Oryzias latipes: one gene and its partners. The protein of the gene in region 3 interacts with the protein of the main gene of each other region in a biochemical or structural test. Links are inferred from orthologs where the notes say so. Each region holds a gene or a part of one and is shown on either strand. Other genes may lie near its edges. The genes, in order: tnfaip3, death domain-containing protein CRADD-like, ripk1, otud1 and ikbkg.

Region 1 (5,875 bases), on a different chromosome or scaffold from region 3:
CAATGAACTTTCTCTTATAAAAAATATATCCAAATGCTATTATATTTTCTTGGTTGAAAAATGTACAGTTTGTGCTTAGTTTTTTCTCACCCAGCAAAGAAACACAAATGAAGCACGTTTTCTGATTTTGAGTATTTGCATGCTTGGGTATTTCCAGGAAACCACACCGCTGAGCATGTCAAGCCCACGCAAAACCCCACTGTCCCCACGCTTACTAAATGTCACCCTGTCCCCCTGTTATGGCCCGTTCAGCCAATTTACCCATTCTTAAACTGCCACAACCCCCCCTCCCACTGAAACCTCTACCCCTCCCACGTGCGCTTTACTTATATATATCTATATATATATATATAGATATATATATCATTTTTTTATGTGAGGGTGGGGGCCCTGACACCATTGCCCCAACTTTAACCTGGAAACAACTGAATGAATGTACTACTAAGAAAAACATGCATCACTTGAACTTTTCAATGTGGAAATCTGTGAAGTTGACAAGAGAGAAGCGGAGGAAGACTAAAGCAGTAACCCGGTTAAGCCTTCTAGTAAATGGAGCACTCTGCATTGTAAACAGAGGCCTAGATGATGTTATCTGATAGCACCCACAGCCCAGTGCATATCGACAATAATAAAAATATTAAAATAAATTACAAAAAGACAGATCTAGCAGGGCAAATATCATGTAATACCTCAACAGCCCCACCTTTTATGGCAGAGGGGGGTCAACGCAAAACACATGAGTCAAGAACCACACCAGTCAGATTTCTTAATAAAAATAATTCATTTCAAGACAACATATAAATAATTATTGAATCACACAATACAGATATCTTGATATGAATAAATACTTAACAAATAAAACCAGTATTTGTTTCATACAACACCCTATCATCAAAAGAAACTTCCACACCGTTTGCATGTTTTTTGTTACACCTTCTGCCCTTAAGCCGATGGTTTTTCCTACTGCTGGAAGGTCCCTACACAAGTCAGGCGACCGCTCCTAAATGCCTCAGCAGCTTAGACAAGTCATGTGCAACTTTTAAAATCTCCTCTCCACCAAACTCGTTCCGAACCCCCAAAAGCCATGTTTTTTGAGGGCCAGTAGAGCTGGCTGCTAATTGGCCTGTTATTGGTTAAGGTTCATCTAGAGGTGATTAAAGCACACAGAAATCTACATGCAGGCCATCAGCGTGTGGGCTGGCCTGCTGACAGCTTTAGATACAGTTGAATGAAAAAGGCAGACCAAGAGCCGGTGAGTCACTTAGAACCGGAGCCACAGATGGACATCTACAGCTCGGAGGGGGAATAACTCGTGTGAGCTATCACTTTTGATTTCATTGGATTGCTGTTTTATCCACTTTTGCAGATAAATGACTCTGTAAGTTGATTTGGGGATTTTTTAGGTAAATTTGGATAAAAGATTATGTAAAAACGAAGATGTCCATCTGTGGCACTCTAAAATGACACAGGCTGGCCATTTTAAGGAGGTAACAACAACTGTTTGGCAATTGAGGGCACATGTTTTTTTTTTGTCTTTTAGCAGAAATCAAATATATCAAAATACTTAAAAAATAATTTAGGAAAAATCAACAAAACAGGAATGTCAGTTTCTTTGTGTGTTCCAGAAGCACACATTCGTGCATTGTGTGTGTGTGTGTATGTTGAAGATGAGGCATCGAGTTGGAAGGTCCTTAAAAATATGGACTTGGATCCATATTCACAAAAAAGCGTTTTAAAGGTGGGAGCACTGATCGGGCCCCTTCTGGTCCATTAAATGTCATTACTACTTAAAGGCAAAACTTATGGAGGATCAGCCCCAAAAAGTGTGCTGAAGTGAAAGAAACAGCACAAAGATAAACTTCAGATAAACAAGATTAGCCAAAGCAGGCGATGACATTGGTCTCTGAAGTTGTTGCCTTGGCAAATCCGGCGGGGTGGAGCAGGAAGGAATGCATCTCTTTACAGGTTTACCTACATCACACCTCAAGCTCGAGCTGGGCCTTACAATCTCACAGAGCTGTGTGCAAACCGTGTTTGTAGTGGCTAGGTGAGGTATTATGCAGACTGACGTACTTCTTTTGTTTTTTTATATTCTCACAGGTTCTCTTTATCATTGGAAATCCCCCTTGACAAAATCAGCGGAGCTATATCAGTGCGTGCGGCAATCTTCTACGCGTTTCTAGGTGCTTAGGTCGTTAGGTAAAGACAAAAACGGTGTCCAAGGCAACAGATGTGTTTTGAAAAAAGGGGAAAGAAAAGGGGAAATGAAAGGAAGTTGAGGAGGAATAGAAAGAGGGTGACTCCTTCTCTTCTGCATTCACTGCCGTCTGGGTGCTGACACCGCCAGCATGTTGGCTACAATGGAGAGACTTGATCCTGTACATGTAGCACCAAAACTAGCAGGGTCCTGCCCTGTCTGTCTTGCACCGTTAAAACTAAATGGTTTGTTTACATTTTTCTTATTGAAGAACTAATAAATTGCTGCTGAACCAATGAAGAGATTAGAGATTCACACTGATAAAAACTCAGAGGTAAAAAAAAAAAGTGAGATTTTGAATTTTAAACATTGGGCTTCTTCTTACTGCTTCAACAGACACTCAGTTGGGATTACCCAACGCCTGCATGTCTCACTCTACAGAACAAATGCTTGACAGACAGGTAGACGGATGGGTTTAAAATCAAATTAGATAAAATAATCAATGGCCATACATACATAAAGACGGACACAGGGTATGAATCCTTGGCTGTGGTCGAGAAAGCAATGTCAGATGCTTCATGTCATGTTAACATACAATCATTTTGTCCGGCACGATTCGCTACGTACCTCTAGATACATAATGTACACAAGGGTTGAGTCAGTTGCTCTGACATGTAGCCAAACCTCTTACCGTGTAAGAACACACAGCAAATCAAGATGATCATAATTGCACAGAGAGGTATTCTGGAGGCCATGTCTACTGCAGACGAACAAACACACAAACACACTCGTCACCTCCCCCCCATGTACACACACTCTCGCTTCACATTCTACATGGGGGGGTTAATTTTCAGGCCATAAGGTTACTAGTTACTCACTAGCTAGTTAGTTAGTTGGTTAGTTAGTATCAGAAGTGCATTGATAGGCATGAGGAGCCCGCAGCAGGGCGTTGGCTCTAGCAATGGGTTTTCATCGTCACTTTTGAGCGTGGTCGTGGTCAGCCGCGATAAATCTGTTTGAAGTGGTCACACTCGTTGCAGTAGCCCTGTTTCTCTTGGTTGGCGTAGTGGTCGCAGCCCTGTGTCCGGCACCGCTGCTTTGACTTCTCCTTGGGCGCCTGCGCCCGCCTTCCCGCCTCCCTGCCTTGGCCCCGTGTGTGGCACTCCGGACAGAGGTCCGTGCAACCCGGCGACACGTTACTGCAGCCGCTCCGCCGGCACTGAGTCTGGGTCTGGGATTGCTGTGAAGATCTGGGCTTGGCTGCTCGGTCGCGCTTTTGGTGCAGACAGAGAAAAACAAAACAAAAAGAAAAGGGTCAACTAGGAAGTGCTGAAGAAAGGTAGGCAAATAAAAACAACTGATGGAGGAGACACGGGCCACACATGATGATACCAGCAATGGCACACACATACCATGACTAGGGGAGGGGAGTGTTGTGTGCGATGAGCCACCTGGTTGAGCCGTGCACTCTGCTCTTTGACGTAGCACTTGTCACAGAAGCCCTCCAGCATTGCTTTGCCAACTGCTCCACATCCGGCCCCACGACAGCGTGTGGCATTCTGGAAACCCGTGTCCAACCCGTGCCGACTCTGAACTGGTGCTGGGGGTGGAGTCAGGTCTAGAACAAAGAGTGGTAGACATGAAGAATTTAACACTATATATGTTTGACAGAATGATGAACTTTAATAGGACTTTAGGACTTACGGTGGTTGGTCTGATAGTCTACATAGCAAATAGTGCAGAAACCCAATTTTTCCGGTGTCCCAAAAAACTGGCAGCCCGATCTTTTACAAAGTTTGGCAAGAGGGGCCTGCCAGCCAGGCGTGTGTCCTGGGGTTAGGGTGAGGCATGGCCGCTCAGTGCCTCTGGCCTGACTCCAAGCAGAGGATGAGGCCTCAGTCCTGGGGTTGCTCTGCTGGGGCTCACCCCTCTCCGGAGCTTGCTGCCTCTGCATGCAGAGTGGGCACAGGCCATTGAATATCCTGAACGCCTCCTGTCTGCACATGTTGCATCGCTCTGTCTCTGTCTCACAGCCCCCCCACTGGGTCCAACCAGAACCCTGGGCCGGGTGGGAAATGACAGGTCCCCCGTTGGGGCCTGGGAGTCCTGTGGCAGCTGTCCCAGCTGCAGGGGGTGCGTGATTCTGTCTGGAGTTGAAGCAGCGCTCGCAGAGTCCATCGTGCTCCACACTGAGAGTGAACAGGCATCCAGGCGTCTTGCACTTCATGGCGTGAGTTTCACTGTATAGGCTGAGGCTGGGGGCAGTGGGAGGAGCTGAGCGGGGGCTTGACAACACCACGCCTCGCCCAGAAGAAGAGCAGAGGGGACTGCTGCTTCTGGCTCCTCTGGAGCTCACCTCAGCCTCTGATCCTCCCATCACTCCTACTCCACCCTGCACACCAGCTCCTTTGGCCTGAACCACCCCCTCTATCCTCGCTCCTCCACCGGTGGTGGCCTGTCGCTTCTCAAAACATTCGTGGCAATGAGGCTGTGTGTCCACAGAGACGTAAAAGGTGCACCGTGGCGTGGCACAGCGGATCTCAATGAGGGAAAGCTGAGATACGGAGAAGGGGGGAGGGCGTTGTGGCTGGGCGGCCCATGCCTGTTCCTTGTCTTCCTGCCAGCGCTGATACTCGTGGTTGACAAGCTGCAGGTAGTCCTCCATCAGGTTCATATCCTCTGGAAGGTTCCCCTCATCCAGCCTTAGGAAAGAAACAGTCTTTTAGTGTCCTTCACATTTATAAAGACTACTTTGAGTCGTTTAGAGAAAACAAATGTTTTAGATTTAGGATTTCACAAAAGAGTTGATAGTACACACCTTGCAGCTTTCATGATCCAAGTGACATCGTGGCCCAAGCCTATGACGGGGATCTCCATCAAGTGAAGGTAGTCATTAAGAAGTCTCTCCTTCTGTGGCTGTTCCTTCTCCATCAGGAAGTGAACCTTCAGCTCATCAAAGCCTCCTCTTCTTGGGTTGATCAGCGGCACTGCTCGAATCTCTGCAAAGATCAGTGCAGGTCAAGCAGACAGTCTCATCCACAGAAGGTGGTCATTTTTCTTCCTGCCATTGCAGACTTTAGAGCCCCTGCTTTTGTGTTTCGTACCTGGGCCACTGTCTTTGATGGTGATGAGAGGCGCAAAGTGCTGGGAGTCGTAGCCAAGCACTATTGGGTATTTGTAGCACTCCGTGGGCGGCCATTGCAGAGGCAAGTATATCCCACCTACATTCAGTGGAGAGATGGAGGAGCCTGATTTCATACTCCTGACCACCTGATCTGTTAAAAAAAAGAAAATAAAAGAAGAAATAAGCAAAAGAGCAACAAACATCCTTTTCTTGCTAAATTAGTTGGCATGTCCCTGAAAATGAAACATGTAAGAAATAAGATGAGTAAATAAGCTGTAGGGATCAAAGAAGAGCACCTGCTATGACGACGATGGGCCTGCGGAGGATGTTGGACAGGATGAAGATATGAATGTCCTCCAGGGAGTCAAACTGGAGGCCGTTACTGCTCGAGACTGGAGACGCCATTTTCACAATCTTATCCCATTCCTCCTCCCAGTTCTAGGACAACACACACTCAGTTAGGCCTTACCTGGACACTCATAGTGCCTGCAAACATAATTTTACTTCACACCACCAACAGGCACTGTAAAGTATTGATAATGTTTATTTTGGGG
Region 2 (6,460 bases), on a different chromosome or scaffold from region 3:
GCCGGCACAGCTCCTGATCCGACAGAACCCTCTCCAGAACCGAGTCCGAGAGGCCACAGGCGTCTGCAAACAGAACCTTCCAGTCAGAACTCAGCAGAACATTTGCTCAATGCTTTACATTTCCTCTACACAGATGTGTCTAAAACCAGGTTGGTTCTGACACTGATGGGAATTAACCCCGCCCACCTAATGTTCCAAACACGCTGATTGGGCGGGTCAAAGTGAGAGTTGTGTAGGCTCCGCCCACTACAATCAGCAGCCTGTGGGCTCATGGTGAAGTGACTGTCCTGACCCGATTCAGGACTGATTCAAAGTCCAGTCCGTTCTCTGATGAAGAACCACGTCTCAGCCCGCCTCAGGAGGTTCCCGGGCTCGGATCATGTGACCCAGCTGGAGTCTCGTAGCTTCGTGTTTGCAGGCGGGGACGGTGCTTTGGTACAGTGTGCGGTCCAGAGGGTTCTGACTGCAGTCTGTTCATCTGCAAATGCACTTAATAACAATCCTAACAATAATAAAAGTTTAGAAGATAATCTCGCTCTGTGTCGGCGCTCCGCTTGTTTACAACGGACCGCTGGATTTCTTCTTCTATGGTGTGACGGTGTGGCAGCGTCAGCTGGCGGTGCTTTCCACCCTGTTAGTTATTTTATGTGTTCTTTATTACAAGAAGCCATCACTAAACCGCTCCACGCGGGGCCACATCAGCACATGACACCCTCCAACTCTCCCTTTTCACTTCCTGTGATGCTCCCTTTTGAATGATAAGCCCCTCCTATTGGGCGTTGCCCTTCATTACCTCCCAGGTAACATAGCAGGAGTCAGTCTTAGACATTAAAACATAAAATAAATAACAGGGTGGAAAGCACCGCCAGCTGACGCTGCCACACCGTCACATTTGGTAGTATGGTCATTTACAGACCAATCACTGTCTGACACGTCATGTGACGTCAGCACTAGTCCCATGACCCCGAACGGGGGGGTATTCCAGGAAGCATGTTTAAACTAGCCTGACTTTAAGCCTGAACTCTGGCTGAAATCCGCCTGAACTTGCTTACTCTGGGTATGTCGGTTACAAAAGACCGGATATGAGTTGGCGTAATCACGCTCCACTTGGTAACCCTGGGTTAACGCACGTGCACAGCAGGGGCCTGTTTCAGAAAGGAGGTTTAGTGTAAACTCTGAGTATGTTAACCCTGAAATCAGGGAAACCCTGGGTTTTCCGTTTCAGAATGGGAGGTTTGTTAAACCAGAGTAATCAGAGTAAGTCAAACCCGTTTCTGAAAGAGAGGTAACTTATACTCGGAGTCAGTGTCCATGGTTACTTATGCTGTGAACCTAACCTGGTCGGGAGCAGGTTTTATTCTCTAAACTCAAGGTTTCTGCCGGTCCCCTCCCCTTTTTAAAGACGAAGCGGTATTTTTCACTTTAACCTTCATTGCCCACATTTCCGTCACACAGAGACGGTCTAAGTGACAAGAATGGCTTGTCCTTTTCTGGAGGACCCAATAGACGAGGAGGCTGCATTAATTCCTAGAGAATTACATTAACGTCGTGCGAGGATTTTGAGAAGACTCGATGTTTTGTCATTTCCCCAGACGTTTTTGTTTGAGCGTTACCGTTTTTCGTTGCAGTCAATTACATATATACAATGAAAACAACATTAGATATTGCTATGTAGATGTTTCATATGTCAAATATTGTCAACATGCCTACATCCATGACATGCTCAACTTTGACCTGATTGAATTATGTTTTTATACTTCATTTTTAACTGCTGCCATGTTCTTTTAATTCCTGCAGGATTGAATCTACATGAAAATGAAATCAGGGACATTGAATTACATTAATGTACCAATTACTTTATGGAAACACAATTTGCTAGCACTGCTTACTTTCTTAATCCCATATAAACCACTTGATCAATACAAGGGTAGACAAAAGGTCACTTTTAAAAACACAATTGCATGTATTAATATTAAACTGACCAACGTTTGCAAGAGGGGAAGGTTAACAAAAAAGTCCTCTAAACATTACTGACGTTAAATGCATTTTTCCCCCAGATTGGTTCTGTACACTATGCAGCATTTCATGCAATTACACCAGGAATAACACTTCAAAAGTAAACCTAAATATCACCATTTTTTATTTCACACCTTACGCTATTTAAAAAGTTATTACAGCCAATATTTTATAACAATGATTTAAATGCAAACTTAGGCATAAACTTGAGCAGCTATGTTTTCCACGCTAACTGTCTCTGTTTTGCAGATGCAGCGGTGTTGCTTTTCTTCTGGAACATGTGCTCATATTCACTGTAACTCTGCAGCAGCACGTCAAGTTCAGCTGGAGAAAAATACGCAGACCTCTTTTTTTCACGGTTGCCATGGTGACTCGTAATATCTGCGCTCCATTGATAATGGCTTCTTATAGTCGCGGTGCGCACGCTTAACTCTGAATTAGTCCACTCAGAATTGATTGATCTAACTCCGATCAGCTTCTCTGAAACAGAAAACTCAGAGTTGTTAATCTCTCGATTGACCAACTCAGAGTTCAGGTTTAACCTCAGAGTTGGTTGAACCTCCTTTCTGAAACAGGCCCCAGGTACATGAAGACATTTTCAATAGATCACATATTTCTGGAGTCACCATGGAAACGCGTGGAGAACCAAAGAGAGCGCTATACTTCAGTGAGACGGAGTCGGAGATTTAAATGACGGCGTATGAAGATTATACGACCATCAAAAAAGTAACACGGCTGCATCATCAGCAAAGAAAGAGTTTCTGCTTGGAGTAGAACAGACAAAGTAAACGCACGAGTTTCTGATCTCATTTCCATTTTCCTTTTGACGCATAAATACATATATATATATATACATATATATATATATATATATATATATATATACATATATATATATATATATATATATATATATATATATATATATATATATATATGTATATAAATTATAAAATTATCCAACTTAAATTAATTATTTCAATTGGTAACAACTCAATATTTTTTTACAACTCAAATTTCCATATTTATCTAACTGAATGTCATTTTACTCCAATTCAATTAAATGTTTTTCCATCTTCATTTATTGGACTTTCATATGTCTAAGTTTGAGCCGCAGAGATTCTCATTTTTATGACATGAAATGATTGAAACCGAACAGATTTGCATCATGAAACCTGCTGACTGTCACCATTTCTCTGACGTCATCATCACACCACTGAACAGTAGTGGTGCTCTAAACTCATCCTCCTCTTCCTCCCTGGTTATGGTACCACACCGCTCCCAAGTGTACTCCACTCGCACCTGCGGCTCTTGGTTCCGGTTCGGTCCTCAGCTCGTGCACCAGCCGGTCCCGGATCCAGCTGAAGTCCGCCAAAGACTGCATGAAGGCGGGGAAAGCTCGCGGCCCGCGGTTCGGGAGGATGTCCAGCAGCTTCTGGCTCTTTCTCGTGTCGGTCGGTTCCGATTCGATGTCCTCTACGTGCGCATGGGTCAGCACGCCCTCCTGAAACAGAACCGGAACTATGGATTCGCTGACCATCAACTGGCTGCAGAGTTCCGCGCGGAGCTTCCGGAGCACAGCTTTGTGCGCGGGATCCATCCGAACCCGAACCACACCCGTGCTGGGTCCGTCGCTGCGGCCAGCTCCAACTAACCGGTCCAGTTAGTCATTGTCCGTCCATGTTATTGTGCCCGACTGGAAACAACAAAACCGGTGTGGGTACCGGATGTTCTCGGGTTGCCGGATGTTCTCGGGGTCCTTCGGGGTCCTTCGACCAATGATGACGTCACACTATTTGATTGGCTGTAAGTTGCCACGACCAATGAGTTAACGTCGCTAAGTTTTTTAAAAACTTTATTGACAATTGCGGTATCATACATTAACAATGACATTAACGTTAACAACGAACAATAACGATGTAATCAATATTGCCTCGAAGATCAGTCACCATTGCCAAACATAACATATTAACATAGAAAATAAAGAATAGAGGGGAAAAAAGAAACAATGAACATAACACACAAATAAATAAAAACATAAGTAAAATAAAATAAAGGAACATAGAAAAAATCTAAGTAGTCTAATACTAGTTAAGTTAGGGGTACTCGTGAAGTTTGTATTTCTGAACAAAACTAAGCAATTTCAAGCCATTCTTCTTTTTCATATAATGAAGTGATTGAAAGCAAAAACAGAGCTCTTTATTAAATGTTATAAAAGTGGTTTGGGCTTCAAAACTTGACCTCACCAAGATGGCGGTGCTCTCCTCCCATGAGGAACCACGTGATGTCTCCTCTAGTGATATAACTCATTGGAAGGACCCTGAAGGACCCCGAGAACATCCGGCAACCCGAGAACATCCGGTACCTACACCGGAACTGAAGTTGTAGAACAGAAATGTCCGCATTCAACAATTCCAATTTAGATTTATTTATTTATTTTTATATATTTATTTTTTATTGAACAATTGCAAAACGGTCATTTGATTAAAATGACGTCATAGTGACGTCAAAAAGGAAAAGTTGAGCTCTTTATTCAAATCTACCCAAACGATCATTTGGAGATAAGTCGAGTTTTCCTCCTTGATCAGATATAAATCTTTATGTTTTTGGATAAAAACCTGCGTAGTGCTGTAAATATAATCTGTGAATATAATGTAGCGACCTGAGGGAAAGCCCCGCCTTCTGCCCCCAAGACTCATAGGAAGTGGGGAATCTTGTTGTGAAAACCATGAGTGAGAATGCTGGGAACACAAGCCCCTTCCATGCTGTTTGTGTGTGTTCGAATAGATGGACGTTGATGCTGAAAAGGAGACTTTGATTCTCTGCCTAACTCTTCCCCCCTGAGACTGTCCGGGGCGTGGGTGGATGGGGCACAGACAGCACCAGCAGGGTCGTAACAATAATCTGTTAATATTACTTTGCTTGTTTTCACATTGACCACAAAAATAACAACTAATAACAGATGATCCTGCTTTACATCCAATATGATCCATCTTGGTTCCAGGATGAACCCTGCAGAACGAAGAGGAGAGAACCGGATCCCCTGTGAGGAGAGGACCGGATCCCCTGTGAGGAGAGGACCGGATCCCCTGTGAGGAAAGGACCGGATCCCCTGTGAGGAGAGGACCGGATCCCCTGTGAGGAAAGGACCGGATCCCCTGTTGTGAGTCCCCAAACCTTTCCTTTTTTCAAAGAGTTCAACATCCAATCAGCCGTTGTTTACCGAGCACAAAGCTTGAAAATAAAAAAACGAAGAACAAGACAACAAATGTTTACCAGCCGACCTGCTCCAGGAAAGAAACTGGAGACCAGAACTTTCCAGAAGTCTAAAATATCTTCATACAGCGACTGAATGACAGAACTGGACGGAGTGACATCACCCACAGAAAACTGTGGCCAAACTTTGATGTTTGGCTCCGGCCAAAGGAAGGAGATGGAGTCGCCATTTTTTTGGAATGCGGACGCCGCCATTTGGAGCCAGACGACTTCAATAAGCAGTGATTGGTCTGAGTCAGTTTGAGAACACGTTTCCATGGCAACCACTTTCTCCAATCAGAATTGAGCATGTTTAAAGTCCACACTGAAAGTGGGCTCAGGGGCCTGTTTCAGAAAGGAGGTTCAACCAACTCTGAGGTTAAACCTGAACTCTGAGTTGGTCAATCGAGAGATTAACAACTCTGAGTTTTCTGTTTCAGAGCAGCTGATCGGAGTTAGATCAATCAACTCTGAGTGGACTGATTCAGAGTTAGGCGTGCGCACCGCGACTATAAGAAGCCATTATCAATGGAGCGCAGATATTACGAGTCACCATGGCAACCGTGAAAAAAAGAGGTCTGCATATTTTTCTCCAGCTGAACTTGACGTGCTGCTGCAGAGTTACAGTGAATATGAGCACATATTCCAGAAGAAAAGCAACACCGCTGCATCTGCAAAACAGAGACAGTTACACCCCAGTTACAAAACATAGCTGCTCAAGTTTATGCCTAAGTTTGCATTTAAATCATTGTTATAAAATATTGGCTGTAATAACTTTTTAAATAGCGTAAGGTGTGAAATAAAAAATGGTGATATTTAGGTTTACTTTTGAAGTGTTATTCCTGGTGTAATTGCATGAAATGCTGCATAGTGTACAGAACCAATCTGGGGGAAAATGCATTTGACGTCGGTAATGTTTAGAGGACTTTTTTGTTAACCTTCCCCTCTTGCAAACGTTGGTCAGTTTAATATTAATACATGCAATTGTGTTTTTAAAAGTGACCTTTTGTCTACCCTTGTATTGATCAAGTGGTTTATATGGGATTAAGAAAGTAAGCAGTGCTAGCAAATTGTGTTTCCATAAAGTAATTGGTACATTAATGTAATTCAATGTCCCTGATTTCATTTTCATGTAGATTCAATCCTGCAGGAATTAAAAGAACATGGCAGCAGCTAAAAATGAAGTATA
Region 3 (5,509 bases):
GATAATGTGGAGAGATGTGGGAGAACTTTACCATAACTATCTGAAGGGCTGCCTCTGGCCCAAGGGCCAAACTAAATGCTGCAGAAAGATAAACATCAGGGTTGGACTTGGCACAACTCACCGACAAACCAGCCGCTTCCCTTCATCCGTCTCTCCACCTATAATGACGATAGAAGGTCAGAGCTGTCAGAGGTGTGAGGATACGTTCACCTGCTTCAGACACTACCCAGCAATGTGTGCTGGCAATGGCAAGGCAGCTAACAGGGACCCATCAGTGGATCAAGAAACGCCAGTTTCGCAAAGGCAGAAGCAGACTAGTGAAGGAGATTCCTCCAGGAAGTCCCTGATGGCCACAGTAAGGACGACAGAAACAAACAACTTCCACATTACCTTGGAGATGATTCCAAGGCCCAGCCAAGAGGCTTGGAACTGATCATGCGGACTGGAAAACAATATTATAAGCTTCTTTATTTTAATTGTCATTATTCATTTTGTAGATTTTTTTCTGTCAAATCTGCTCATTTTTCTGCAATATTGTTTAAAAGTGTTAAAAATGGGAATGAAGGCACAAACTTTATGCCCCAGCAACATTTGCACTCTTTTTAAAATAAAGTCAAGGTAACTTTGAGTTTTACTAGTTTTTTCCTAACATAACTGTATTTGATCCATTAAGAAATGTAATTATCAAAGGAAAAAAGACTTTAAAATACAGGAAAATATTAAACTGCAAAGTAAAAATACGGATACTAGTAAATGCTTTTTCTTAAAAAAACAATTATTTTATATAAAAATAAAAAAAACTTCTGTTTTCTCTTTTGCTGACAAGGTTTTCTTGATCTTTCATACCAACAGCATGGTGTTGATGATAAAAATGAGACGTTTTTCTTAAAAAACTGTTTGCAATGACCTTCCGATGGCCCCTTAGCCACCGTTTCCTCTTGAAAGCTGCAGATCTGAAGCTGTTTCTTCAGTCACATAAACATCCAGATTTTAATTATTTTTCCCACTTGTACACATTTCATGTCACTGTCTGGGACTTTAAGGGTTTAGTCATCTCGTGCACTGATTTTTTTTTTCTTAATTATTCAAGCTTTTGAGGGTCCTCAACTGTCTCTCCTATCATGAAACCTCAAATAAGTCATGATGAGCAAAACAAAAAATTTGACTTATTTCACCTCCAGATGAATAAAATAAAAAAACTGTTTTATGTTGGCAGACAAGAAAAGATTCTACAAATCGAGCAAATTCAGGATGGGTTACGTACACACACAAAAAGGGATTTGTTGGTCAAATTGGTTATTTATTTTGTGGAACCTAAAAAAAATTACCAAAATTCTGAGTTTTTAAAGGTCTTTCAACTTGTAAAATAAGATACTAAAAATTGGCTGATTTCACATTTGCACAAACATTCTGTCCCAATTAAATGAAATGTTTTGTTTTTGTCCAACTTTATTTTGCCACACAAATATACTCGCCTGTTTTGAGTCATTAAAACCTTTATTTATTGTTAAGAGAACTGAAATCCTGCCGATTTGTGACCATAAATCTTGCGTAGATTCCATGGGTTCTGTTTGTTTAGACTTGGAAGAATTAAAAAAAGAAAAGTTTGATTTTCAAAGGAGGTATTTACTCACCTTGTGTTTAAATCTAACGAATGTTGTGCTAAAATGTAGTTTTAATCTTCGTTCAGTGTCAGCCCTTGAGGATTTTTCAGAAAACAATGTTTTCTTTTCTCATTTTGTGTCCCTCAGAAAGACTAAAAAGATTGGTCTGAAGATGAGGTGTGTGCTTTTGAGCCCAGACACGGAGTAAAGCGATCAGGACGCATCTGCAGGCAGCCAGATTTGAGAAAGAGCAGAGAAATACGGAAGAGATGTTGGTTCTGCGTTTATTTGGATTGTCCAAAAGAGAGAACCACAAAGTTCAAGAAGTTTACCTTACAAGAGAAAATCACAGAATTGTACAGATTGGAAGTCACATGAGTAAATAAAATAAAATCAGTCAGACCGTCATAAGGTAAAGCAACTCATAAGGTAGAAGACAAAGTGGCGTCTGCACAGAAGATCCAACACTGATATTCATAAAACTCTCAAAGTACAAAAGCAGGTTTGTTTTTTTAAAGCTAAAAAACATGGATTTTTTACAGTATGACCACAGACACCCCAGCAATACGTCATTACAAAAATTCATTAATGTTCGTTCATGTTACCTACTGACATTTTGTATTCTTCTGATTCTGTTAAAACTGCACATATTTGCTGACTGTTTACGTCTTTTAATGTTTTGATCAAATGAAGTCAAAACATACCATTTCCATACCTGAGGTTTTGGCCCTGTACGGGTCACGTGATGGCACACATAGAATGAAATCTGTAATACTGTGGACTGAAGGATATGGTGTGGTTATTCTGAGCCAGGCTTGATTTGTGGCAACATTTAAGTCACATATATAGGATAAAAGGCCTCAATACATTTGTCCAACTTGGTTAGAAGTAAATGAGGCAAACTGAAGAGCGCCAGAGGTTTAGGCCACGTGAGAAAGACCGCACATGTCCAGTATCTTCTGAATGACATCTACTTTAATGTTTCCATCCAGAGCTCTGCAAAGTTTTCCAACGGTGCAGCCAATGGATCCCTCCTTCATTTTCCAGCGCTCCAGCATCTGGTGGACCATCTCCGGCAGGCCGTCGCGGTAGTAATCGTGCTCTATGGTCTGGATTTCCACATCCTTTAGACCCAACCGACGGGCACAGCGCTTCCAGCTGTTCCCTATGTTCTCTGTCAGCAAATACAGGTGCTCCTCTGTCACGGCTTGGTCCTCTAAAAACATTAAAAACAATAAAAAAACCAGTGTAAATAATTAAGTGCATCATATGGCAAAAATGGAAAAAGCTACAACTACTCTGGAAAAGGCTGTACAATTGTTGGATTTGACTGCCAAAACTAATCAGTAAATTATTTTATTTCATAAAATAATATATCTTACCATTTCTGAATGGTATTGCACTGATCTAATTCATATACCAAAAACATTAATAGATAAATGATAAGCATTTTTAAGTTTCAACCAACAACTTCTTCTCAGAAAAGAGCAATAGCACCTTTTGTCCAGCAGAGGGAGCTCCTCCTGTTTGCATTCTCCATTTTTTTATGGTGAACTAAAACTACAGACCTGTTTATTTAAATAAAAAAGGCTCCTTTAGCTTAAAAATGTAACAAAAAATTATCATTATTTTTTTTTGCTTTCATTTTAACGTTGACTATACAAATAAAGACAGAAGTTTTATGTCAAAATTTTACACAAATATTAAAAAACAATTTGTATTTAGGCATCAAAATTATTTTCAACTTTCAAAAACATGTAATTTAGTGGTGATCTCAATATCTTTAAATTCCCATTTTAGCCATTAATAAACACTTAAAGACACACTCTGAAAATTGTGCTTTTTAACACGTTTAGCATTTTTCTCACGATGGAGGACATCTATAAAGAGAATTAATGTCTTTACTCAAATCTTGACATCAATTTTTTGAATTGACAATGAATTAAATCGGCAACCACAAATTATAATAATTATTAATAATAATAATTATAAATCTAACTTTTTCTAAACTTTAACACACAAGTATAGTGTGTGAATCCACAAAAAAAAAGGAACTGACCGTATTTTAAAAGGCCTTCTTGGATGGGAGACAAGCTGCTTCCAGACACACACTGTGAAGAAACGGGGTTGTCAAAGGCTCTGATACTCAGAGTGTTGTTGTTTCCGATTTGGATCCCACTGGCGTTCTGAATGAACAGGGGTCCTGCAGAAGGTACATGTAAAGTCACTGTCCCCAAGCAGATGGAAGTATTCGAGTGCGTTTTTGTGTACCTGGCTCCTGTGGTTGGAAACCTTTAGACGGGGTCCCACAGCCACTAGCATTCATATCAGGAACAAAGGTATCAGGAACCGGGTAAACTGGCCAGGACTGCTGGCGGTCTAAATGGGGGTGTAAATGCTGGTTAACCTGCTGCAGAGAGGACATACTGGCAGAGGCATTTAAATGGGTCGGCGTTGGTGAGGCCATAGAACTGGGATTCACTGGGTTCAGAGGAAAGAAAAGCTGGTCTGAACCGGTCGGCTGCACCGGCTCTTTAGTCCAGGAATGGACGGAGGACGTGTCTCTTGCCGGCGGCCTCCCACTTTGATCCAAGGGACTGACGTGGTTTTGCAATAGGTGATTTGGGGCATTGTTGTAGTAGCTGCTGGCGGCCGGGGGATGCATGTCAGAGTTATAGCTGCCATGTATGTGGTAATAAAGCTCTCGACCCAGCTTCTCCTCCAGCTCTGAAGGTTGTCTGGCATCTGCTTGAATGGAATCCCCCAATGGTTTATAGTTGATGACATGGAGATCCTCGATGCTGGCTTCAACTGGTACCGAAACATTTGTATCTGAACTCACCAAAGGAGCAGGGGAATCTAACGGAATTAAAAGATGTTAACTTTTTCACCATGTTTTTTCAAGGATTTGTTTGGAATAAAACTTAGACCAACCTTGCTCGTTTGTCAAAAAGCTGTCATGTCTCACAGACAGTAATTTCATCTTCTCAACAAGTGTCATTGGGCCCTCATAGTTTTCCTGCAAAAAGAAAAGAAAATACATTCATATATTTAACGCAGTAATTGCTTGTGATGATCTCCAAACTAAAAAAAAAAAAAAAACTAAATGTTAAAAATAAATTCTGTTCAAGCTAAACCTAAATGGTTGCTCTCAAAGGATTCACCTTCAGATCCTGTAAATCGTTCTCTATATGGGGTTCCAGATTTTTGGCATAAAAAGGACAGAAAATGTCGTAGGCTTCTGCAAAAAAAGATAAAAAGAAAAGTTAGAGTAATTGCGAGAAGTTACACTACTCACAATAAGTTAAGGATATTGTGAAAAACTCAGTGGATTACTCATAGGGACCAAAAGCAAACAATTCTAAAAGGAAAACCTTTTCAATGGGGCATCTATTTAAACAGAAAAAGCTGATTTTTGTCAGGAGGTCATTCAAACAGCCATGAACACATAGTGTCACTTAACAAACGAGCAGCGGCACCTGGCCATAGCGTGCATTCAGGTTAGTAGTCGGTGGTCAGATTTTGCAGGTGAGGTTGTCTCAAAGTGTCATCAGCAGACTACTGGCAGAGTTCAGGACAGACCCAGTGACAGACCGCAACCATGAGCAGAACCTAAGGACCTCTGACCTCCAACACGGTTTAGCAAACGCCGCACAGCTGCAAGCCCATTTACCAGATGTGATGGGGGGACTAGGGTTTCCAGACAAACCATTCCCAACCAGCTCCACCGCCTTGACTATAATACCTGCCTACTGTTGCAGGTGACTCTACTGACACCAAGACACCGCCGTGAACATTTGCAGTGCGAGACCATGTGACTTGGACAATCCAGCAATGGTCTGCTGCCCTGTTCACTCATGAGTGTCGGGTCACCTCACACAGAATTGCTGGTCGTCAGCGTTGCT
Region 4 (6,519 bases), on a different chromosome or scaffold from region 3:
ATTCCCGTCAGGGTTTGGCGCCAGGTAAGGTTGTTTTTTAAACCTTTTGGTTCGCTTAAAACGATAAAATACAAAAAACAATCCTAGCCCGTTCAAACAAGGTTGGACAGATTATGTTGGCCTTCAATTGCAATCTTGGGTAAATCTTAAACGTACATTTTTAATCAATGTACAGATTTAATCAAAGATTTGGCAAGCTTACTCATTGCAGACTTGCCTTAGTGTGGCACAAAGATCACTATCAGCCACAGCGTAAATGAAGGAAGTGTGGTTAGACCCCAGCCCTACTTTCATGCCAGAGGTGCTTTTTTATCTGCAATTTCACAACAAGTGAAAAAAATGTGTTTTTTGGCAACATCTTCCAAGTCTACAATGCAATAGTATGTTGCTCAGGTTTGTGCATCACAAAGATCGAGAGGGAAAAGACTGAAACTTGACCCCTGTCGCTTGCTTCTATGCAGCAGGAAAAACAGATTAGCTGAGTCAGAATGTGTGGCTCGCTGCTGCTGAAGCTGCTGTTGTGCCCTTCTACACATCATCCCCACACTCCCTGCATACAATCTGAGCTCCAACTGCCATCAGCACTTCTGCCCCTGCAGTCTGCACACATGTTACTGTCCAAACTGCACACACAAAAAAAAAAACCTGCAACCGAACAGAAAGGCTTCAGCCACGAACTTCATGAAGCCGGAGGGAGGTAAAGATGGGCTTCCAAAGGGCTTTGCAGCAAATTAGCAATTATCCACCATGCCCTCATTTACATGCTCTGCCAATCGAACCTGTCATCATGGAGATAAGTTTGGATTTTTCTTGAGCTGTAATGAAGACACAGCAGCCCAGTCGGATACGATCACACCTCCAGGGCCAACACAACCACATGCTTTATCTTTGTATTTTATTGATCCAAAAACACAGAAGCAGGAAATGGAAAAAGTCCCTTTAAGGTGAGCTCAAAGGAAGCTGCTTCTCTCACTTAAGGAGCCAAAAGAAAAGAAAGTTAGCAGCAGTGTGAAAAGGGCAACTGCCACTTCAGATAATAACAGTGGGGCAAATGGCATCACAGCACTGATCTCCAAGTGGAGGAGATCAGAGGTGAGACTCAGCACAGTCACGCATAGAAAGAAAAATACTCTGCTAAGAGGAGCCATGTAATGGGGAAAAATATTCTGTATTATTTCTAACATTTTAGACAGAAAATAAGATAAAAATTCAACTCTAGTTTTAAAATTACGCATCAATTGCGTTTTTTTCAAATTAAGGCTAAAGTAGAGTTTAAAAATGACTTGTAGTCTAAATAAAGCTCTTAAAAGTTTCCCTTCCCTGGCCTGAGAAGGGAGAATTTTCCCTTATTCATCCGCGTAGAGTTCATCATCTGAACCAAATTAAGCAGCCAAAGAAATGATCTCTTACTGTGAAATTTTGGACTCCCTTTGTGCTCAGTCGGAGGAAGGTCCGCAAACTGCACCCGGTGCCCCGACATGTCCGCTCTTCCCCCCGCAGGTCAAAGCCTCTTCAAGTATGCGAGAACTTTTTGAGGATGCGTTCAGGTGCCGCTGCGTTTTGCGCGTGGGATCCCCGCTCAGATGCGTAACGGCGCGCACCCGTGGATTTATATTTTTATAAAGAAAGGCTGTCCGCGCGCGCCGATGCGCGTGCCAGCTGTGCGCTCGGTGACGGTCCGCTGTACCTGCACGCCTTCTTCTCCCTGCTCTGAACGGGTCTGAATCGAGCTGGGGAAGAGGGGGCGTCCACTATTCCTTTCCCGCATCAACAAACATGAAAACTTTTCTGCCCCGCATTAGTGCCCGCAGAGTGACGTCATCGCTGTTCAGAGATGAAGAGAAAACGTATCTTTTATGATTGTATTTATTTATTTATACCGTTCTATTGGCACTTGGTTCACTTGCACGTGCCTTTTGGCGCACTTTTATTGTTTTATTACATATTGTTTTACCTGTAAAATGTTCTCAAACTCTTTAATTATTTTTGGTTTAACATGTTGGTTGCATTTAGTTAGTTCTCTGTTTTTTTTTCTTAAACTAAATTGTATTTGTATTGAGGTTCTTTTTATTTTTAGACTGGTAATCTTTTGTGCGCGTGTTGTCCTTTATTTAGTTCTTTGAGCTGCACATTTGATTAGTTTCAGTATTTTTGCAAGAGGAAAAAGTGTTTATCATCTATTTGGCTTCTTTCAACGCCAAGTAACGATGTCTAGCATTTTTCTAATCCCTATAGTTTGAAGTCCTTTAATTTCCGTCCTAATTTGTATCAAATAAAAAACATCTGTGTGGTGAGATGTGAGGAGCCTACACTGCCATCTAGTGGATGGAATGGGAACACGGTGAGGTTGTCATCTGCCACAGGGAAACAAAACACATTTTGAATGAATGGTACATTACTTTAATGCAACAAAGAATCTAGGAAAACATGGATAAACAGGGTGACAGTGTAACTGAATACTCTGCAGAAAATTTTGTCTTTAAAACTTTTTTTCCCATTTTAAAGACCTACTCTGATTAAAACAGTTTTTTTAACATGTTCTTTTGCCCTTTTTTGATGATGGGAGCACATTTGTAAAGAAAAACTTAGTTAAAATGGGTATTTCTGAGTATTTCTTTATTCTTTAGAATAAATTTTATTCTTTATTGTTGTAAATCAGGAACACACAAAGAATTCTGTTATAAAGAGAGCGTGTTTGTGATGTAGAAAATATGTTGTCCAATCTGATGGATTCACTTGCAGATTAGGAGATCCACGTATGTCTTCATTTTCTTCATCTGAGCAGGCATATGGCTCAAACTGTAAGGCCGGATAGCTCCAGTATTGCTCGCCATTTTTGTTGCATCGGTAAATAATAGGTTGGGACTGTAAGCTATTGTGAGAGCGTGTAAACAAAGGGATGATGGGAAATGCTGCCACACAACTCAGAGGCAGATTTCTATTGAACTCCTGCCGCTCTGAAGAAACTATGTTACACAAGTTGAGAAAAGACACCAGCTAATCAAGCTAGAACATAACTTTTAACCTTTCAAAGCATCAGAGTGCAGCGTGCATCTCTTATCTCTTCCCACCATGCTGCACTTTAAAGGGAGGGTTTGTATAAGATTAGTGTTGTGCGACTAAAAAGACATGATCATCGATGCTGAATGACAGTTTTATGGAAACAATCAAATAAAACTGTTAAAACAATCTTATAAAATAAAAACATGTTTTTTTCCCCAACAAACTTCATTTAAAATAAAAAGAAAACAATCCAAACATTTGGAATAAATGACAAGAAAGCAGCACAAAATACAACTCTCCCAAACGAGTCTGACAGGACTTTTGTGCAAAAGAGAGCAGCTATAATACAGCTATGTGCCACTTGGAAAAAGACAAACACAAAGAAATGGAAAAATAGTTGACAAGTGCTAATAAAGATGGTCTGCGATGTGCACTGCACTTTTTTTCTGACAAACTTAGAAAACTTACAAAAGAATAATAATTTAAAGCAACCAAGCAGAGTCCACAGCATCCATCAGGAACAGACTGTGGCCTCACACGCAGCCATTCTGCTCTATGTACATCTTCGATAGTGAGGCCGCCATGGACTTTGCCAGCTCCTCGTCTCGTTTCCGCTGCATCTGTGAGCGCCGGCACCAGTCTTCGTACTCTGGGTTGGGAAGACATCGGCCCAGGACCACATCGTAGTGGCCGTTGCTGAGCCAGCTTAACCAGATGGCTGGTTTGGAGGCGTCCTCCTCGCCGAGGTAGTGCACCATGGTGGAGACGGTGGGACTCTCTGAGCTGCCGCCCGTCGTGAGGTGGATGTTGACGTTCAGCATCTGGCTCATGGCGAGGAGCTCCGGGTAGCCGGCCCAGGCTCCGTCCTGCGCCGCATTGATCAGGAACTCTCCCACGTCGCCTTCGATGATGGGGTTGAACTCGTCCAGGTGGTCGGCGATGTGGTGCACCGTCTGCTCCCGCAGCTCGCCGTGCCTGGTCTGGTCCCCGTACGTGGCTTTGCACACAGCTCTGTACAGGCAGTTGCCATCTGGAATGATGTGGTACCTGTATTGGTTCCTCTCCTGGAGGTACTTGTTCTGCTTCTCCACCTCAGCCAGGTACCGGCTGACTTTGTGGTCTCTCTGCTGGGACCCCTGCGGAGGCGACTCCTGCAGGACACTGAGCTTCAGAGTCTGGTTCTGCCCTGATGGTGGTGTACTTTCCATACTGTTCATGTCAAATAGATCCTCTGTTCTGAAGTTCTTCGTCATGGCAACCATTGAGGGGGCCAGTTCCTCTTCATGGAATGACGCCCATCCGTTGCTCCTATAAGGTCCAGAATCCTCCTCCTTACATTCCACTGTGGATTGAGTGGTTTTCTTCCTCTTAAAAGCAGATCCTCCTGGCAGTTCTGTGCAGCCTGCCTCCTCAGTCTGATGGTTTGTCCAGTCCACCATGGTCTCCTGGTCGGGGTCACTGCAGGGCTTGTGGGGGCGGCCTGAGGGGGGTTTGGGCTGTCGGATGATGTGAATGGGAACCGGCCTTTGCACTCCGTCGGGTCGGCGGATTAATATCTCGGCGGTGGAGGTGAAGTAAAGCGGCCTCCTGGTAGAAGCAGCCTCGTAGCACGAAAAGGCGGGCATGTTTCCAGAAGTCTCCGCGGGCGGAGCGGCGTGAGTTGACGAAGTTGTGTCAAGTTGGGCAAAGTCGACCTCGGAGGAAGTTCGCGGCGTCCCGTTCAGGCGCTCGGGGGCTGCAGACAGAGTTATTGTAACTTTCCGCGACGACTTCGGGTAGTGTGTGAGCGCGCTGTTGTACAGCTGCATTTTCCAACGGTCCTTTATACTGAACACCGCCGCCGGGGCAGTTACGAAAAGATGACAACGAGCGCTAAAAATACCCCCGGAGTCATCAACAGCGGGAAACTCGCGGGGAACGTTTCCATGGCCCCGAGTCCTGTTATCGGGGACACGCAACGACGACGACAAGGTCCACTTTAGCTGTGTGGCGTCATCTGCTGTTGGGGTGCCTCCCTAATTTTAGGCTTCACTGTTTGTAACCAAACCCCTTCAGTGTAAAAGCCCGTCAAATCCCGGAGGACAAAATACCAGTTCCGTTTGGGAAACTTCAAAATAAAACCCCTCATCGTCGTTTAATGTTTTTTGGATGTTTTAATTTTATTTGTCTCAGATTATAATCACAAATTATTAATTTGCATTTACTTTTATTATTATTTTTGTAATATATTATGTAGATTGTTTTTATAGCTGTTATTAATTTCATGCTATTTTTGTGAATGATTTTAAACAAATCTTAAGTTAAAGAAATTATAAAAATGTTACAAGAGTTTTCGGGAATAAAAAAAAAATCATTTCTTAACCATCCTATATTGTCCAGACTAACTCGTGTTGTTGAAAATGTTATTAACTGTGTAAGTGGAGAAAAATAAATAACTAAAGACTTGAAAAAAGTTAAGTTCGTATATTTTTTAACCTTCAGATTCTAACATTCCAACTTAACTACTAACCTAGTACTTATAACGTTTTCAATTAAACCCAAAGTTATGGTATATTTGGCTACCTAACACTTAACATCAAAAATCATTTTCATGATTAAAAATCTATAGCTAAAATTCACAATAATGGTGTTTTATAGGTTTGCAAAGTTTTATATGACAAAATAAAAATCTATTTTTAACATTTTAAATAAAACATTAATAAGGGAAAATTGTAATCCCGCAGAACCTCAAGTTAATTTGAAAATGGGTTACAGAAAAAAAGAAAACTATTTTTAAATTAAAAAGCCTTGTTTGTATCTGTCTTTTTGTATCTATCTTTTTTGAGACAAGTTTTACATTTTTTTTGTCATTTGTTTTTATTTTAATTCATGAATTTTTATTATTGATGCCTTATGAATGGAAAAACACAACCTTTTGATACATTAAAAGAAGCAAAATAAAAGTATTTTTTCTTATATCAATAAAAATGTCAATTTTTATCCAAACAAACCTTAAAATACCATGTAAAAGCATAATTTGTTTGTGAGCTGAAAGTATTTGGTGCATGTGAATATGTCCATTGGACATTATTGGCAGACATGTCAATGCTTAGATATGCTCCTGAAGCTTTTTTTAAACACTTACACTGTCAGAGCTTGTGGATTGTGGAACTCAATCTGCGTGCTTGGAATAGACATCCGACTGGCGTCAGTTAAACCCACAGCTGAAAAGTAATCCAATCTTTTCAGGAAGAACATTCTGGAAACATTGGTTACACAACATGGAGAAATTAATTAAATTATTCAACAATATCTGTTGTCATTGAGGGAAAAAAAAGAGAACAAAAATATTAAAATACTGAGCTTATGGTGCCCATTATTTTACCATTAACCCAAAAAAAATATTTTTACATTTTCATTATCATTGTTCCAACAATTACACGTTCGCGTTTTGACCACCAGAGGGAGTCCGACGACATAATGTTTTAATGAAATGTTTTACCATAAACAACCGCTAAGTGGCGACATTTCTCTGTA
Region 5 (4,167 bases), on a different chromosome or scaffold from region 3:
CCGGGCGTCCCTGCAGGTCTTCAGTCTGACTTGAGCTGCAGGACAGACCGGAAGACGGGGAGGAGCCTGGTCCGTTCGCCGTGACCTTCAGCGAGTGGTTTTCCTGCGCCAGCCTCTCCACGAGGGCCCTGGCCTCCTGGAAGCGACAGCTCAAAAACTCTCGCTCGTCTCTGGTTCTTTGCTGCCATCCCTCCATCTCTTCACAGCGCAGGCGGAGAGCTTGGTTGCTTCTCCGCAGTGCCTCTGGAGGAGCAAACATAAAGTACGACTTTCGTCTTTCGGTCTCACACAGAAGTTTATCCAAACTTTGCTGCCCTGACTCTGTTCTTATGCTGTGATACTATTCACAGATAGAAGAGACAGCATTTACCACATCTGAATGTGTATTTACATCTGCTAGACATGAAACCAACTTCCTGTGTGCGTTCAGGGCAGCTTGAAGTATCCGTCACTCCATTTTAACCAAAAATATCCTTTAAAGACCCACTCCGATCATCTTTTGATCTATTTTTAAACACGTTCTCAGTGGTCTTTTTGATATAATGCGGCCACTTTTAGCCATAATCTAAAAAGACTGCCATTTTCAAGGACATAATTCCTGCAGAGTGGCAGCGATTCATCAAAAATTGACCTCTGAGTTGTGGGCGGGACTGTTGACGTGGAGTAAGCCTGCCCCAACTTCCCGTCACTCACCTGTTTACCCGTTTTCCTGCTAGCTTACAGCCCCTCACACCCCCAACCTAACACTACCGGAGTGACAAAAATGCTGAGAAATATTGGAGCTATCCATCCGTCCAGTTTAGATCCAGATTCCAGCTCAGACGAGGAAAACAAAGACGCACATGGATCTATTTGTCTGCAAGTGGATGCATCAGAATGGAGCGGAGCAGGAAGTTTGTGGCCCGCCAATCATATTTTCTACATCACAAATAAGCTCTTTGTCAAACAGCATTTCACCACACACTCCTGATTCACAACAATTTGAATAAAGAAATACCCTGCAAGCTAAATTTTCTAAGACATCTGAGAAGATGATAAAAAAAAAAAAAAAAAAAAAAATTTTTAATTTTCATCAGAGTGGGTCTATAAATCAATCAAACTTTAATTATAAAGCACTTTTCATATAAAAGTATAACACAAAGTGATTTACATTAAAACAAAACAAAATAAATAACATAAAACAACAATTAACATAAAAAGAAAAATAATAATAAAAAAGAAGTATGAAGACAATATGTTGGAAACGCTAATAATTGGAACCTCCCTTTCTGTGAACAGCCGCATAACCAGCCAAATGCAGCATCACAGGCGGGGACCGCTCCACCACAGCTAAGCAGTGATGCAGGTTCCCATCCAGAGCCGCAGTGGCTGAAGAGCAGCCGATCCAGAGGGAGAGGTCCAAACTATGAAGGAGCTAAATAATTAATTATTTCTGTTTTTCTGATTTTTTTCCGTTTACAAAACAGGCAAATATGGTAAATAACTAAAATAGTGTAAAAGATGGTTAAACCACATATAGATTTGTTTTGAATTAAGCTTCTCTTATTTTCTGCTTTTACGTGTATAAAATATGTCAGTTAAAAAGCTGAGTTAACTAAAGCAGAAACTAAAATATATATACCACAATGTTTTAAGAAGTCAGCCTCTGATTATAAGCGAGCTCCACCCCGCCGGACCTAAAATGTATTTAACTTTAAAAAAAAAAAAAAATATGTTCCTGTCATGGATGAGAAATTGAAAAGAAAAGAAAGCGTAAACAGGGTCAGATGAAGAATCCTCGTTAAAAGTTGTGTGAGCGAAGCCGTGGGTGCGATACCTCTGAGCTGCTGGTTGTCACACAGTAATCTGGACACCACCTCATGACCAGCAAGCTCCGGTGGGACCCTGAGGGCCCCGCCACTGTCCTCCCCTGACATGTCCCACTGCATGGGGCCGTCGGGCTGCGGCTGGACCATTCCTGCAGGATTACAGTGGATTATCATCACACACCTGTCAAAGTCAACATCCAGTCCGTAAGCGTGGAAACAGGTTTGAGCCCTGACATGTGCACCAGGACCAGACTTTCACTTTCATTTTGATTCTTTTACTCATTTTTGTTGAAAATATGAAGCAGATCTGCTCCTTAAAGGCTTCAGCCTCTCTGCTAAAAAAAAAAAAAAAAAAACATGTGGACGTCATCCATGAACATGACTGCAGGTAAGGAAAACATTACGTCATCGTCATCACACCTTAGGCCGGGATAAAAGACACATTGGGTTTAAAATAGCTTTAAAAATGAAAGTAAAGAGAACGCAGTTGGATTTTAACAGAAAAAATAAATAAAATCAACGACCTAATTCCAAACTAGACTGATGTTTTTTTGGTTTTTGGACATCCGTGACTGTCTCTGAACAGTTTGGACGCATACATACTAGTTTATTTTAACAAAACAAGGACAGGATCTCTCTTACCTTAACTTCTTTTTCCCTTTGTTGTCCAGAATAACACACATCCAGAGTTTTTACAGTCCCCCCCTCAAACCTGCGCCAGGAAGGAAGCTCGACGAGTCCAGAAGCACTATTTTGGCTAATTTTTAGCTAGCTAGGCTAATGCGGCAGTGAAGGGCTGGGAAAGCGGCCTCGCTCCTCGGCTGTCATAAACACAGCTTCACGCTGGCAGACTATCGAACCTTAAAGGCACATTCTGTGTGGATGTAGGAGGCCTTTTCTTCCTTTGCTTCACGTTCGCTACGGGGTTTTCGTCCGAGCCGAGGCGACTGTTGTTAGCTCGGAAAATTCCTCGAATATTTTAACCCTGAGTTTTGCCTTTCAGGTGTCGGTTCTCCGGTTTGTAGATCTGAAAGGGGAACGGTTTGAGTATCTTATTTTAAGCACGAACAAGTGTGTAAAGTTTTCCTGCTGAATTAGGTTTTATAAATATAAGATTTTCTACTTTATTTTAATTGATAAAGCTTGCAAATATATTACAGTGAAATATAAAAAAATAATAAAACAGTGAAAGTTGAGTGGGATCACAAAACATTGCAAACTCAGCAAAGTCAAAGTCAGGTTTAGGGGGGGGGGGTGATGATACCAAAAAAAAAGAAAAAGCAGAAAAATCAAAGAAGAAGCAAATTGCAGAAACTGCAACACTTGTTCAAGTATCAGGGATGACTGGTTGACACACACAAAGAAACAGACACTTGATGAAAGAAACTGCTTGAATAAATCAATGCAATAAACATCCTAAAACTTCAATAATGAAGGGAACCAGACAACAGAACAGATAAAATGAAGAGGGTCTGCCACGAATCGACAACGGGATTAAAAACTTGAACCTGGAGCGCTTTGGACCCATGACTGAGACAATAATTTGATAGTATGCACTTTGAAAAAGCCCCAATTAGTAAAAATAGCCAATTTTTAAAATCAATACTAATGTTTTTCTGTTCTCACATGAGCTGCCGCCTCTGACCTGCACCAAAAGCCAGCCGTGTGCTAATGACACATGGGGAGTAACACAAACACAACAATGTGGGGATCCAGCTCATGTTCCCACAGGATTCAGTTCTTTAGGAAAACTGGATTTAAATGGATTCATCTAGATAGGGAGTGGGCAGTCGGGAGGGTTGAGGGCACTCTATGTTTTATAATTTCAGTTTTAATTGTTTGAAGTCAGAAAAGCACTTTGTGTTACTCTAGTAGGAAAAGTGCTGTATACAGAATGTTAAATTTGATGTTGAAAACAAAATAATCAGAATTTGCATCTGTTTATACAATATTGTATTATTTAACATGTTAGCTTGCAGCAGCACACCGTACATTAGCAGTTTGAACTGAAGAGACAGCCATAAAGAAGTGTTTACATCTTGGAGGAATTTTAAAAAAAAATTGGGCACCAAAATTAGGCCGCGTCAAAAGTTGCCTGTCAGGTAAAGCGCAGGGAATCTAAATTCCGGAAGATCCCCTTTCCTTCTTCCGCAGACGCTCGTGACGTCAGCAGGCCGCAGCTTCCTGTAAGCGGCTAAAGTGAGGGAGGTGACAAAAATGCTCTCCGCTCCCGCAGCCCGAGCTTTTCTCCTTCTGTCTTGGATTTCTTCGATTTCTGCGCTTTATTTTCACATAGGAGAGACGGAGAAGAAATGTTTCATAGAAGAAATCCCAGACGAGACGATGGTCATCGGTGAGT

The links.
Region 1: of the proteins of ripk1 (region 3) and tnfaip3, one has a biochemical effect on the other in vitro, tested with the Homo sapiens proteins (2 studies listed by BioGRID). The link is inferred for Oryzias latipes from reciprocal best matches to the Homo sapiens genes RIPK1 and TNFAIP3.
Region 2: the proteins of ripk1 (region 3) and death domain-containing protein CRADD-like form a complex in vitro, tested with the Homo sapiens proteins (2 studies listed by BioGRID). The link is inferred for Oryzias latipes from reciprocal best matches to the Homo sapiens genes RIPK1 and CRADD.
Region 4: of the proteins of ripk1 (region 3) and otud1, one has a biochemical effect on the other in vitro, tested with the Homo sapiens proteins (2 studies listed by BioGRID). The link is inferred for Oryzias latipes from reciprocal best matches to the Homo sapiens genes RIPK1 and OTUD1.
Region 5: the proteins of ripk1 (region 3) and ikbkg form a complex in vitro, tested with the Homo sapiens proteins (4 studies listed by BioGRID). The link is inferred for Oryzias latipes from reciprocal best matches to the Homo sapiens genes RIPK1 and IKBKG.

Annotation. Positions count from the first base shown.
Region 1 is NC_019873.2:16,691,542-16,697,416, reverse strand, and holds the end of tnfaip3 (tumor necrosis factor alpha-induced protein 3), read right to left. Parts: intron 5,760-5,875; coding exon 5,618-5,759; intron 5,473-5,617; coding exon 5,302-5,472; intron 5,197-5,301; coding exon 5,016-5,196; intron 4,900-5,015; coding exon 3,902-4,899; intron 3,816-3,901; coding exon 3,610-3,815; intron 3,471-3,609; coding exon 3,195-3,470; 3' UTR 763-3,194; downstream 1-762. UniProt on the Homo sapiens protein: Ubiquitin-editing enzyme that contains both ubiquitin ligase and deubiquitinase activities.
Region 2 is NC_019881.2:23,808,426-23,814,885, forward strand, and holds the start of death domain-containing protein CRADD-like, read right to left. Parts: upstream 3,793-6,460; 5' UTR 3,617-3,792; coding exon 3,319-3,616; intron 64-3,318; coding exon 1-63. UniProt on the Homo sapiens protein: Adapter protein that associates with PIDD1 and the caspase CASP2 to form the PIDDosome, a complex that activates CASP2 and triggers apoptosis.
Region 3 is NC_019875.2:26,464,939-26,470,447, forward strand, and holds the end of ripk1 (receptor-interacting serine/threonine-protein kinase 1), read right to left. Parts: intron 4,846-5,509; coding exon 4,769-4,845; intron 4,624-4,768; coding exon 4,539-4,623; intron 4,464-4,538; coding exon 3,876-4,463; intron 3,808-3,875; coding exon 3,664-3,807; intron 2,821-3,663; coding exon 2,525-2,820; 3' UTR 1,871-2,524; downstream 1-1,870. Other genes in the region: opsin-5-like, read left to right, coding at 1-433. UniProt on the Homo sapiens protein: Serine-threonine kinase which is a key regulator of TNF-mediated apoptosis, necroptosis and inflammatory pathways.
Region 4 is NC_019878.2:19,215,262-19,221,780, forward strand, and holds otud1 (OTU domain-containing protein 1), read right to left. Parts: upstream 5,103-6,519; 5' UTR 4,812-5,102; coding exon 3,537-4,811; 3' UTR 2,386-3,536; downstream 1-2,385. UniProt on the Homo sapiens protein: Deubiquitinating enzyme that specifically hydrolyzes 'Lys-63'-linked polyubiquitin to monoubiquitin.
Region 5 is NC_019865.2:4,851,536-4,855,702, forward strand, and holds the start of ikbkg (NF-kappa-B essential modulator), read right to left. Parts: upstream 2,801-4,167; 5' UTR 2,451-2,800; intron 1,958-2,450; 5' UTR 1,956-1,957; coding exon 1,817-1,955; intron 244-1,816; coding exon 1-243. Other genes in the region: transmembrane emp24 domain-containing protein 4, read left to right, coding at 4,026-4,161. UniProt on the Homo sapiens protein: Regulatory subunit of the IKK core complex which phosphorylates inhibitors of NF-kappa-B thus leading to the dissociation of the inhibitor/NF-kappa-B complex and ultimately the degradation of the inhibitor.